2 linked regions of the Coturnix japonica genome follow. The protein of the gene in region 1 interacts with the protein of each later gene in a pairwise test. Links are inferred from orthologs where the notes say so. Each region holds a gene or a part of one and is shown in the gene's direction. Other genes may lie near its edges.

What was found.
Region 2: the proteins of KIF2A (region 1) and MRPL53 interact in binary tests that used the Homo sapiens proteins (3 or more experiments, as listed by UniProt). The two-hybrid records come from large-scale screens. The link is inferred for Coturnix japonica from reciprocal best matches to the Homo sapiens genes KIF2A and MRPL53.

The regions. Positions count from the first base shown.
Region 1 is NC_029547.1:20,728,018-20,732,625, forward strand, and holds part of KIF2A (kinesin-like protein KIF2A), read left to right. Parts: intron 1-413; coding exon 414-533; intron 534-933; coding exon 934-988; intron 989-2,405; coding exon 2,406-2,528; intron 2,529-3,062; coding exon 3,063-3,163; intron 3,164-4,608. UniProt on the Homo sapiens protein: Plus end-directed microtubule-dependent motor required for normal brain development. May regulate microtubule dynamics during axonal growth. Required for normal progression through mitosis. Required for normal congress of chromosomes at the metaphase plate.
Region 2 is NC_029517.1:109,901,141-109,906,402, forward strand, and holds MRPL53 (39S ribosomal protein L53, mitochondrial), read left to right. Parts: upstream 1-1,642; 5' UTR 1,643-1,686; coding exon 1,687-1,775; intron 1,776-2,202; coding exon 2,203-2,315; intron 2,316-3,997; coding exon 3,998-4,122; 3' UTR 4,123-5,009; downstream 5,010-5,262.

The DNA.
Region 1 (4,608 bases):
TGACATTGTTAACCCCTTTTTGCAAGTAGAAAAATTAGATATTTTTGAGAAGGAGAATGACTTGCAGCTCAGACAGGAAAATAGTGGGAGAAGTAGAAAATTAGAGAAGTAGAGAAGTGGGAGAATTGCATTTGCTTGCTTTATGGAGGAACTGAACTTCTATGTTGTTTATTTACGTAACTTATTTTTGGCAGTAATTTTTCAGACTTCTTCATGCTTTAAGAAAATATGTCTTTCTGTGTCTCAGTTATATTTTGTTGTTCCTTTCTGGAAGTTTTCAACCTGCTTAGCCTGTTTAGAGTGAGATTTGAAGAAGCATCTTAGAAATAAATACACCTCACCAGTTTGGTGGAAACATACAAAACAAAAAAATAGGAACTCACAATTTTTTTTTTAAAATTTATTTTACATAGATTGATCTGGAGAGCATATTTTCACTTAATCCAGATCTTGCACCCGATGAAGATATTGAACCCAACCAAGAGATACAGCCACTACCTACTCCATCAGCCAAAGTAAACAAAATTGTTAAGGTTGGTAAGATCTGTTCATACTGTATTACAGAACTCATTAACTTGTTGTTATGTTTGAATTTTTACATTTGACTTCTGTCTGTGGATCTACTTGTTAAATATGTTCAGTTTTTTCCTGTGCTGAAAGAGGTTTTCTGAGAACCCATTTGGCAGTGAGAGTGTTAGGAACTAATACTTATAGCTAGATACATCTCAAGGAGAAAATATACAAAAGGAGATTGTTTTGGAACAGTTTGTATAGTTCAAGCAGTCTCAATTGTAGGCTCTTCAGAGATGGATTAGACAATAATCACCTCTCTGTGCTGTATTGCTGATGTTATGCTGGAAGCCTAGGTGTGAAGCTTTAGTTTATGTTTTAAATTATGAGGTAATCAAATGTCAGAGATTTCTGTCTTTATAGGTTCGACGGACTCTGGTACCTGCTAAGAATGATGTCCCTGCCAGGGATAATAGAGGTAAATATCGTATCTTTCCATTTCAAGGAAACAAAGAATGTGGAAATATTTTAACTTGGAGCTTTTCTAAAATTCTTTGTTTTAGTTCTGTGTTTCTAATTCATTATATGACAAAACAGAAGACATGGTACATAACTCTGCAACTTGTATTTCAGTAGGTACTCTGCGTCTTACTATTTGCAGTGTACCAAAGGATTAGTTCTTTGGTTTTGTAATTAAACTTCTCTTGGCATACTGTGTTTTTGGTGGAATAAATTCATGGTGTAAAGTAGATCTATCATATTTGGAAGTGATCTGGGAGTTTTTGTTTGTTCCTTATGAATCTGTTTTCACAGTTTTCTCTGTATTTTATAATATGTTGGCTTTTGGAATGTCATCTCTAAGCTATTAATTAAAACTGTTACCTTCAATTTCATGCTCTTCTGGGAGAGCTCATTACTAGCATGTACGAGAAACTGCCGAGATGAAGCAGAAGCACTTGAAGCACCATTTCAACAAACAAAATATTCAACTCTACTGGAGAGGCTTGCAAGCTCACTACTCACACTACATTCACTGGGAAGAGATAACACTGTGTCTTTAGAAAGGAGCATTCTTATCACATATGGAATCAATGCAGAAATTTAGGTAGACGTACCCCTTTCAACTAGGTCTCAAAAAAGTTTATTTCTTCCACAAGTAAATGGAGCTGCACTTGGGTGCCTTTCACTTCTATCCCTTTACTCCTTCAGATACTGTAGGTTCAGTGAGGTGAGACTATTTTTAAATTTCTTAAGAATGTGAAACTATGGGCCCATTTTCTTGCAATATAAATAAAATTGCATCATGAAAGGACCACGTATCTCCACATATATTCTTCATTTTATGTACGTTGCGCTGGTTCTGTAATAGAGTATGTAATAATTTGCACAAGCAGCATAGGTACTTCATAATTTGTTGTGTTGGTGTGTTGTAGAAACTCAGAAAAGCATGGGTGCAAGCAGAGGGGAGAAAAAATGATTGAAAGATAAAGGTGAATCAAATGGTCAGCTTTACATCTCTTTGATTATTATAGAAATGTGGCAAAATAATTACACATCACCTTCCCTAGAAGAATTAAATAAGTGCATAGATATGGAACTGAGGGACATGGGTTAGGGGGTAATATTGGTGAATAGTTGGACTAGGTGATCTGGAAGGATTTTTTCCATCTTAATGATTCTATGATTCTGTATGTATTAGGATATTAAAAAATAAAAAAATCTGCATTCTGACTGCCTTTAATAACGAACTTTCCATGTATATGTATATCTCACTTCCCTCCAATTCTCAGTAAACTGTACCTCAAAAGAGGTCTTGTTTTATTGTAATAAAATATTTCAAAATTGGATTGATATATTTTTATTTAATGGATCAGCTTTGTTCTTTTCTTTTGCAGTGGCTGGTTCTGCACGTGCGCGGCCCACTCAGCTTCCTGAACAGTCATCTTCCTCACAACAGAATGGTACTGTTTCAGATATATCTCCAGTTCAAGCTGCAAAAAAGGAATTTGGACCCCCTTGTATGTAAACCGTATCTCAAGGATTCTTTCATCCTGGACATTACATGTAGATTCTCTTGGATTATGTTGCTGTTCATAAAGGACATAAGTCTGTAGCCTTCCTTATGAAGCTTTTTCAGAGTACAGTGGCTAAACTATTGTTCAATTTTGCCGCAGTTGGAATTTATTTTATCTTCTGTTATCTTTTGTCTTTGCATCATGAACATGTGGGGTTTTTTGTTTTAATTTTTTTTTTTACATTTGTTTCAGCACTTTTTTCATTCAAACCAAGAGATCACATGTACCTGTCCAAATGTTTTCTAAGGATCACTTTCCTTATTTTTTTTTTTTTTTCAATTACTATCCCATTTCCATTCATTTATTCGGTAAATTTTAGGCACTGAATTGCTGCAATTATCTTGTACTAACACTGATTTAATTGAAAAGGTAGTAGATGTAAATAAGCATGTACTGATTAATTGATGTAATTGAAATGCAATTACTAAACTCTTGCAACACACTGAAAATATTTTAAATTATATCATTTTCTCCAAGCACGTAGAAAATCTAATTGTGTAAAAGAGGTTGAAAAATTGCAAGAGAAACGTGAAAAAAGGAGGTTACAGCAGCAAGAACTTAGAGAAAAAAGAGCTCAGGTGAGTATTTTTAGCCTACGTTGTACTTTTTTTTCCCCCATTCTTCCATAATTTTTATGAGCTGTGATAATCCTGAAATTTTTTTTTCTCCTATGTACAAATTTGATACATCTTTTTGGTGCATATTTGCATTGCTCTGATAAATTGCTATTTAGACAGGTTTCCCACTCTTTTTCTTCCTACACAAATAATTGTGTGCAGTTACTTACCTTTCCATATGTTATTTCAAAATCAGATGCTAATGATACCTATGTCTGTTGACAAAAATCATCCCAAGCTTGTGGCTTGGGATGTTTCAGTGTTACAGTTCATCATTCTTTATGATCTCTGATGCTTTGTTGGATAAGTATTGAGTCTCAAGTTCGAACAATTAATTTTTATTTAACTTCTTTGAACTTGTCTATGACTTTATTGCTTAGCTTTGCATCGTGCATGCAGCTTGGGAGCAAATTTTTTAGAAACTTGTGTGAAACAGATGAAGTTGCTAATCCTGTGAGGAAAAAGATCTAATAAAAAATTACTTTCCGTCACAGTAGTGTTAAGGCTTCAACAATAGTAGTAGTGTAATATTGTTGGCAGGCTTGTGAGTATGTGTCAGTCTCTCTAAAGAGCAGCACTGATCTGCTGGTGACAGAAGTACCACCACTGAGTAAATAATTCACCTAATTTGCTTCATGCTTTAATAATGTTTCTAAGCTGAACTAAAAGGACTGATGTTGAATTCGTGTTTTCTAGTTTTCATTTGCTTAAACAAATACAAAACATAACTATGTGGCTCGGGTCAGAGTCCTGTGATTTCCTCAGAGATGTCAATCTTCCTTGAGATGAGCCAACACGAGAGAAAGACCACTTAAGGGCCATCAGTCCTCAGAGATGGCCATCTTCCTTGAGATAGGCCAACACAAAAGACCACTTAAGGGCCATTGATCAGTATCTTATCTCCCTTTCGTAGCTCCCGGACTTGTCCATCTCCTAAACAAAGGGATTTCTCGAACCTTGGTTCCTGTGTGTCTCAGACAAAGGCAGTCCTGGAACCTTGGCCAGGACTTGCCTGAACTTGTCCATTTCAGCAAACTTTGAGACAGTAATGTAAAAAGCATGGCCTCTTACACTATGTCTCTATATGTGAGGAATAAATAATTTTTATTTTGTAACTTAAAAATTCTTTGACGTGGCACTAAACCTGAAATTCTCTTCATTATTTCTGTGAGGACACTGTTCTGCTGAAGTCTTTGACTTCTGGATGAGGAAGATCTAGTTGTCTTGTTGGCCTGTCAGTATCTGTGCTTTCTGGTGCTTTCTGCTTTGTGCATTCTGTTGTGAAGTACAGGGATAATTCAGTGATAATTAGGTAACCACTGTCTTCTAGTGGGCATGATTTTTAAGCAGAGTTAGAAGAATATTTGCTTTTTTTCTGGAATATGTAATAGCCATTTCAGAATTAT
Region 2 (5,262 bases), on another chromosome or scaffold:
TTTTTCATAATGGAAAGTGCAATGTATTTTGGGAGGGAGAATAAAAACATTAAAACTGTATCAACACTTCTAAGATTACTTTTGCTATTTAATTTCTATTGAATAAATAGAGAAAAGAGAATGATTTTTCTCAGTAACTGTGTAATTTAGAAAAATATAGCAGAGGACGATCAAAAAACAAAGATAAGCTCTATGAATAGGTTACCCTTTACAAAGGATGCCAGATGTTTAATGAACATTGGAAACATACTAAATACAAATTCTCATCGTGCTCAAATGCCATTATTACTGTGTTCCTTCCATCCTATCCCTAATCCTCACTAAGCTCTCCATAGTGCTGAGCTGAACAAAGTACCAGACCGTTGTAATCATTTATCAAGGAGGTTTCTGCCATCTAGCGGAAAAATACATTGCTTGCAGAAGCCACACCAAGATCGAAACCTTTGTTCAAGGGTTGGGCATGCAACTGCTGAACCCAGCCCATCTTATCAAATGCGTTCCCTTCCAGTATCGTCGCCTTTTGCAGCAAGCCTCTGTTCGGATTGATGCACTGAAAAATGCTGCCTCTAAATGATCCTTGGTCATACTGGCTACCCCTTATAACTAACCTCACTCAAAATCACACAGAATCACAGAATGACCTGGGTTGGAAGGGACCTCAAGGATCATGTAGTTCCAACCCCCCTGCCTGGCAGGGCCACCAAACATACACCTTTACTAGATCAGGTTGCCCAGGGCCCCGTCCAACCTGGTCTTGAACACCTCCAAGGACGGGGCATCCACAACCTCCCTGGGCAGCCTGTTCCAGGGCCTAACCACTCTCCTAGTGAAGAACTTCCCCCTAACATCCAACCTAAATCTTCCCTCTTTTAACTTAAAACCATTTCCCCGTGTCCTGCTAAAATCCTCATTCCTCTCAATTCCACTCAAATCCTCATTTCCCCTTATACTTACCTTCACTCATATCCTCATTTATTTCAGTCATCAGTGAGTTGTAGAATGGCTTGGGTTGGAAGGGCCCCCAAGGATCATGAAGCTCCAACCCCTCTGCCACAGGCAGGTCCACCAACCTCCACATTTAATACTAGACCAGGGCCCCATCCAACCTGGACTTGAACACCTCCAGGGATGGGGCATCCACAGCCTCTCTGGGCAGCCTGTGCCAGCACCTCACCACTCTCATAGTAAAGAACTTCCCCTGATATTCAACTTAGATCCTTCCTCCTTCAACTTAAAACCTTTTCCCCTTGTTTTACTGTTATCTACCCTTGTAAAGAGTTAACTTCCCTTCGGTTTTTAGGATCCCTTTAGGTACTGGAAGGGTGTACTGAGCTCTCCTCGCAGCCTTCTCTTCTCCAGGCTGAACAAGCCCAGCTCCCTCAGCCTGCCTTCATTATTCATACTGAATAAACTAGAGTACTTCTGAACCACATCCAAATCAGACAGGGACAGAATTAACATGAAAACAGCCATATGCAGACTTGCTCAGCAAGCCATCTCCTCACGTTAGGGATGAGGACAGCCAGCTGCTATCTGGAAAACGTAAAACCAAACGCTGTTTGGCAGCTGACAACATGGCTGTTACTGCAGACTCCATTTCCCAGGCGGCTCCGGGAACATGGCCGCCATCGCTGACCCGCCTCTGTGCGGGGCTGCCGGGACTCGTAGTACTGCGACGGGAAGAAGATGGCGTCCCGGATCCATGTGGTGCTGCGGCCCGTGAAGAGTATCGTAGTCCGCTTCTGCCCCTTCGATTCCAACGTGGAGAGCACCAGGTGAGGGGCAGCGGCGTGTCCCGGCCCTGGGGCTGCGCGGGACTCGGTGCTACCGCCGATATGAGGGGGGTGGATCCACACGACCTTTAAGGTCCCTTCCGACCCGACCCGAGGTACTCCAGGCCCTTTAATCACCTTCATGCTCTCCACTGGACTGTCCCAGGAGATCACTGTCTTGTCTATACTGGGGAGGATGTGTTTGTGTTGTGTAGCTCTGTAGATCCAGACAGTAATTGGATTGCTGCCTGGTAAGAAGTGAGTGTCTGAAATTATTGAATATAAATCCAATTCTGTTTATACCCAGCAATGTCAAACTATTCAAAAACTATACTATATACTAAAACTATACGTTTTGGATGCATCTCTCATGTATTAACTGTAATTTTTATCTGTGGAGCACTCAGTGTGTTTTAAAATACATTTTCAGGAAATTTCTTCAATGTATAAACCATAAAAGAATCCAAGCTACTAACAGGAACTGTGAAGTGTCTGCAGATGTGAGACATGATGGATCTGAACCACTTGTAGATGTTATGTTTGGTAAGAGTTCATTTTTAATCCTCACAAAAAGTCCTTCCACGTTTGTGGTTTCACAGTGTCTCCTCTATGATCATTTTTGCTGTGATTAATTTATTCTTTTTTTAATTCTCTTCTACACCTGGATGTTGCCAAGCTGGGAAGGAAAAAGGAAGTCACTAACACTAACATGTACATGTACAAGTCTTTACCAAACCTAACTCATATAGAGTTGAGTCCACTTTAGCAGTGGGACACTTGTATAACCTTGCAGTCAAAGTCAGTTCCAGGAAAACAAGTGTAGCTTTGCTTTGATGTTTTACACATCTGTATACACACATACTGAATTTTTGTTCTGTGTTGTCTTGTTTTCTGTGGTGGAGACATCTGTCTTAAGAATAGACAAGTTTAACACTTGGAGTTCTTTATGCAAGTGAGTAACTTGCTGCGTAGCTGGAAGGAACTGCTCATATAAGACCATACATGTGCAGACGGACATACAGAGTGAGGTCAACTGATGTACAGCAAATTACTTGGTTTCCTTTGGAGATCCAGCGAGTAGACAGGGAATTGATAGTGGAAATGTCATCAGTTCTGGAAGCAGCCCAGATTCAAGGCTATGAACAGATGGCTGTAATCTGATTTTGTCTTTTTCTCGGGCTGTATCTTCTTTCCTGCTGTGCTGTAATGGCCCAGTATGGCATGTAGCCTATTAAAGTTTTCATTATATTTTTTCCTGTTACCCACTTTTCTTTAAGCTTTCTGATATTTAGTGAATCAGTAGAAGTGTTGAGAGTGCTGAATGTACTTGTTTTGCCAAGCAAAGCCAAATTACTTCAGCGCTGACAGAGGTTTCTCCCTCCCTCAAGCCGCTTTTTTTCCAATCCTTGACTCTATCTGTGATGTATTAAGACTTACGCAGTAAAGCTTAGTGTTTTTCACAGTGTAAAGCAAAACAATTTATTTCACTAATGCCAAGAGCTACAGCTCTGAACTCCACTTTCTAAGAGCTGATTATTTTCCAACGGAAGAGTCTGCAGCCCTTCCAATTGGCAAATGTGACTGGAACATGGATGCCACGAATGGTACTGCATTAAATGGGTTTGACTATATCTTTTATATTTGCAAGTCTTGCAAAGATAAAAAAATAACTTAGGTACTATCCTTAATTTCTGATGCTCCCTCTCTGTTTTAAAGTGCCTTTTTTTTTTTTTCCTCCCCAGGAATTTACAAATCCAAGTGTTGTCTACTTTTTAATTTTATAACCACCAGATTGTATAAACCGTTTCACTGTTTTGGCTAAAGAAGTGAAGTAAATGGGCCATATACAACATGCTGCTAAAATGCTGGGCCATGTGTGGAAATTATGCCTACCAGTGCCTTTTGTGCCTTCTGTTCACTGACTTTGGTGGCATAGTGTGAGCCATTCTTATCAACAATATGCTTTTACCATACATATATCTTGAGAAACATTTCTTATTTTTTGATCAGACAGTACAGAAATGAAGATTACAATAGTTACAGTTTCATGTATTTGTTACAGTTTCATGTATTTGTTTGTTCCATAATAGGATTTCTTGTTAAGTGGACTCCTTTCTAATCAGACAAGATGAGCAGGGTATTTGGATTTGTAAATGCAAGCCAGAACTGCACACAAAAGTAACTGTGACTTAAATTTTAAGAACTTATAAATGTTTTCTTTCCAGCTGATGGAGAGCGATTGATAATGAAAGGAGCCAACCTGACAACAGTTGAAATGTTAACAGCACTGGGTTCCAGATGTAATGCAAAGGAGCTTAAGGCAGAACAGAAAAGCAAGAAGAATCCCTGAAGAACAGAACAACTGTGTTGCCATTTGTTAAAACAGGAGGCTGCAAAGAGAGGTTTTCTCCAATGCAACAAATTCTGAGAGAGATGGCCAAAAACTGACCAGTTTAATGCAGAGCAGAATCAACTGTTGAAGTTCTTCACCGTCTTCCCCAAAAGGAAAACACAGTAGATCAACAAATAGTGTGACAGCAGTGGACTGGAATGGCTTAAGATACACGAATGCAGCAGTGTCTGTTATCTGCATGTTGGACTAATGTCACATGTATTTGCATATAAATATGAATACTGCACATTGGTTATTAAATTAATAAATGCTAAAGTGAAGATAGGTCTCTCTAGATGTTATTTCCAACACATTTAATGTAGCTGAGAAACAGCAGCCTCCAAACACAGAGACTGTATTTGCAAGGACATTGGCTGTACAATTTATACTATGTCTGTTGCTAAGACCTTGCCATTTTCTTCTGTGATTCAAAAAAATGTGTGATATTGGCCAAATGTAAATTTAGCTCAGCAATTAAAGCAACAAAGTAATGGGGTTGTGAACACACAGTAGCGCTACTCATCTGGAATAAAAATAGCAAAATTTAGCTGAAAGGGAAACATAAACTAGTGTTTTTGGTAATTGGAGAAAAGAGCTGTCTCTGAAGTTTTGTTTTGAAATATTTTTGTCACTTGCATTTGGGAGATTGCATTAAATATTTCATAAAGATCAAAGGGAGAGCTTTATTTGGTGTTTGTAGTCCTGTGTCCAACCCTATTATTTGCCTGGGTGTCTCATCTGTATTGCAGAGCGCTTTGGGCTTGGGAGGGCTGTTGTGTCCTCAGGCTGTGCTGGTGAAAGTGGCAACTGCACATGTCATTAAAGTTCGGTTCTGAAAAAGTGCAGGTACTGTCCTATTGGGAGGTGTCCTACACATTGTTCATCGGGGGCTTGATTTTTTATTAAACTCTAGTACGTATATTTCCAACATGAATTTGTCAACAGACTTGAGGCACAAACCTGTGTATCTAAAACTAATGTTACTTTACTTTTGCCAAGATTTGTAAGCTAAAAACGTGCATTCTTAACACTGCAAGATACTGAAGCGATAAAACCAAGCACTCTGGGCAAGAGTGTACTCCTCTGATGATTATTATG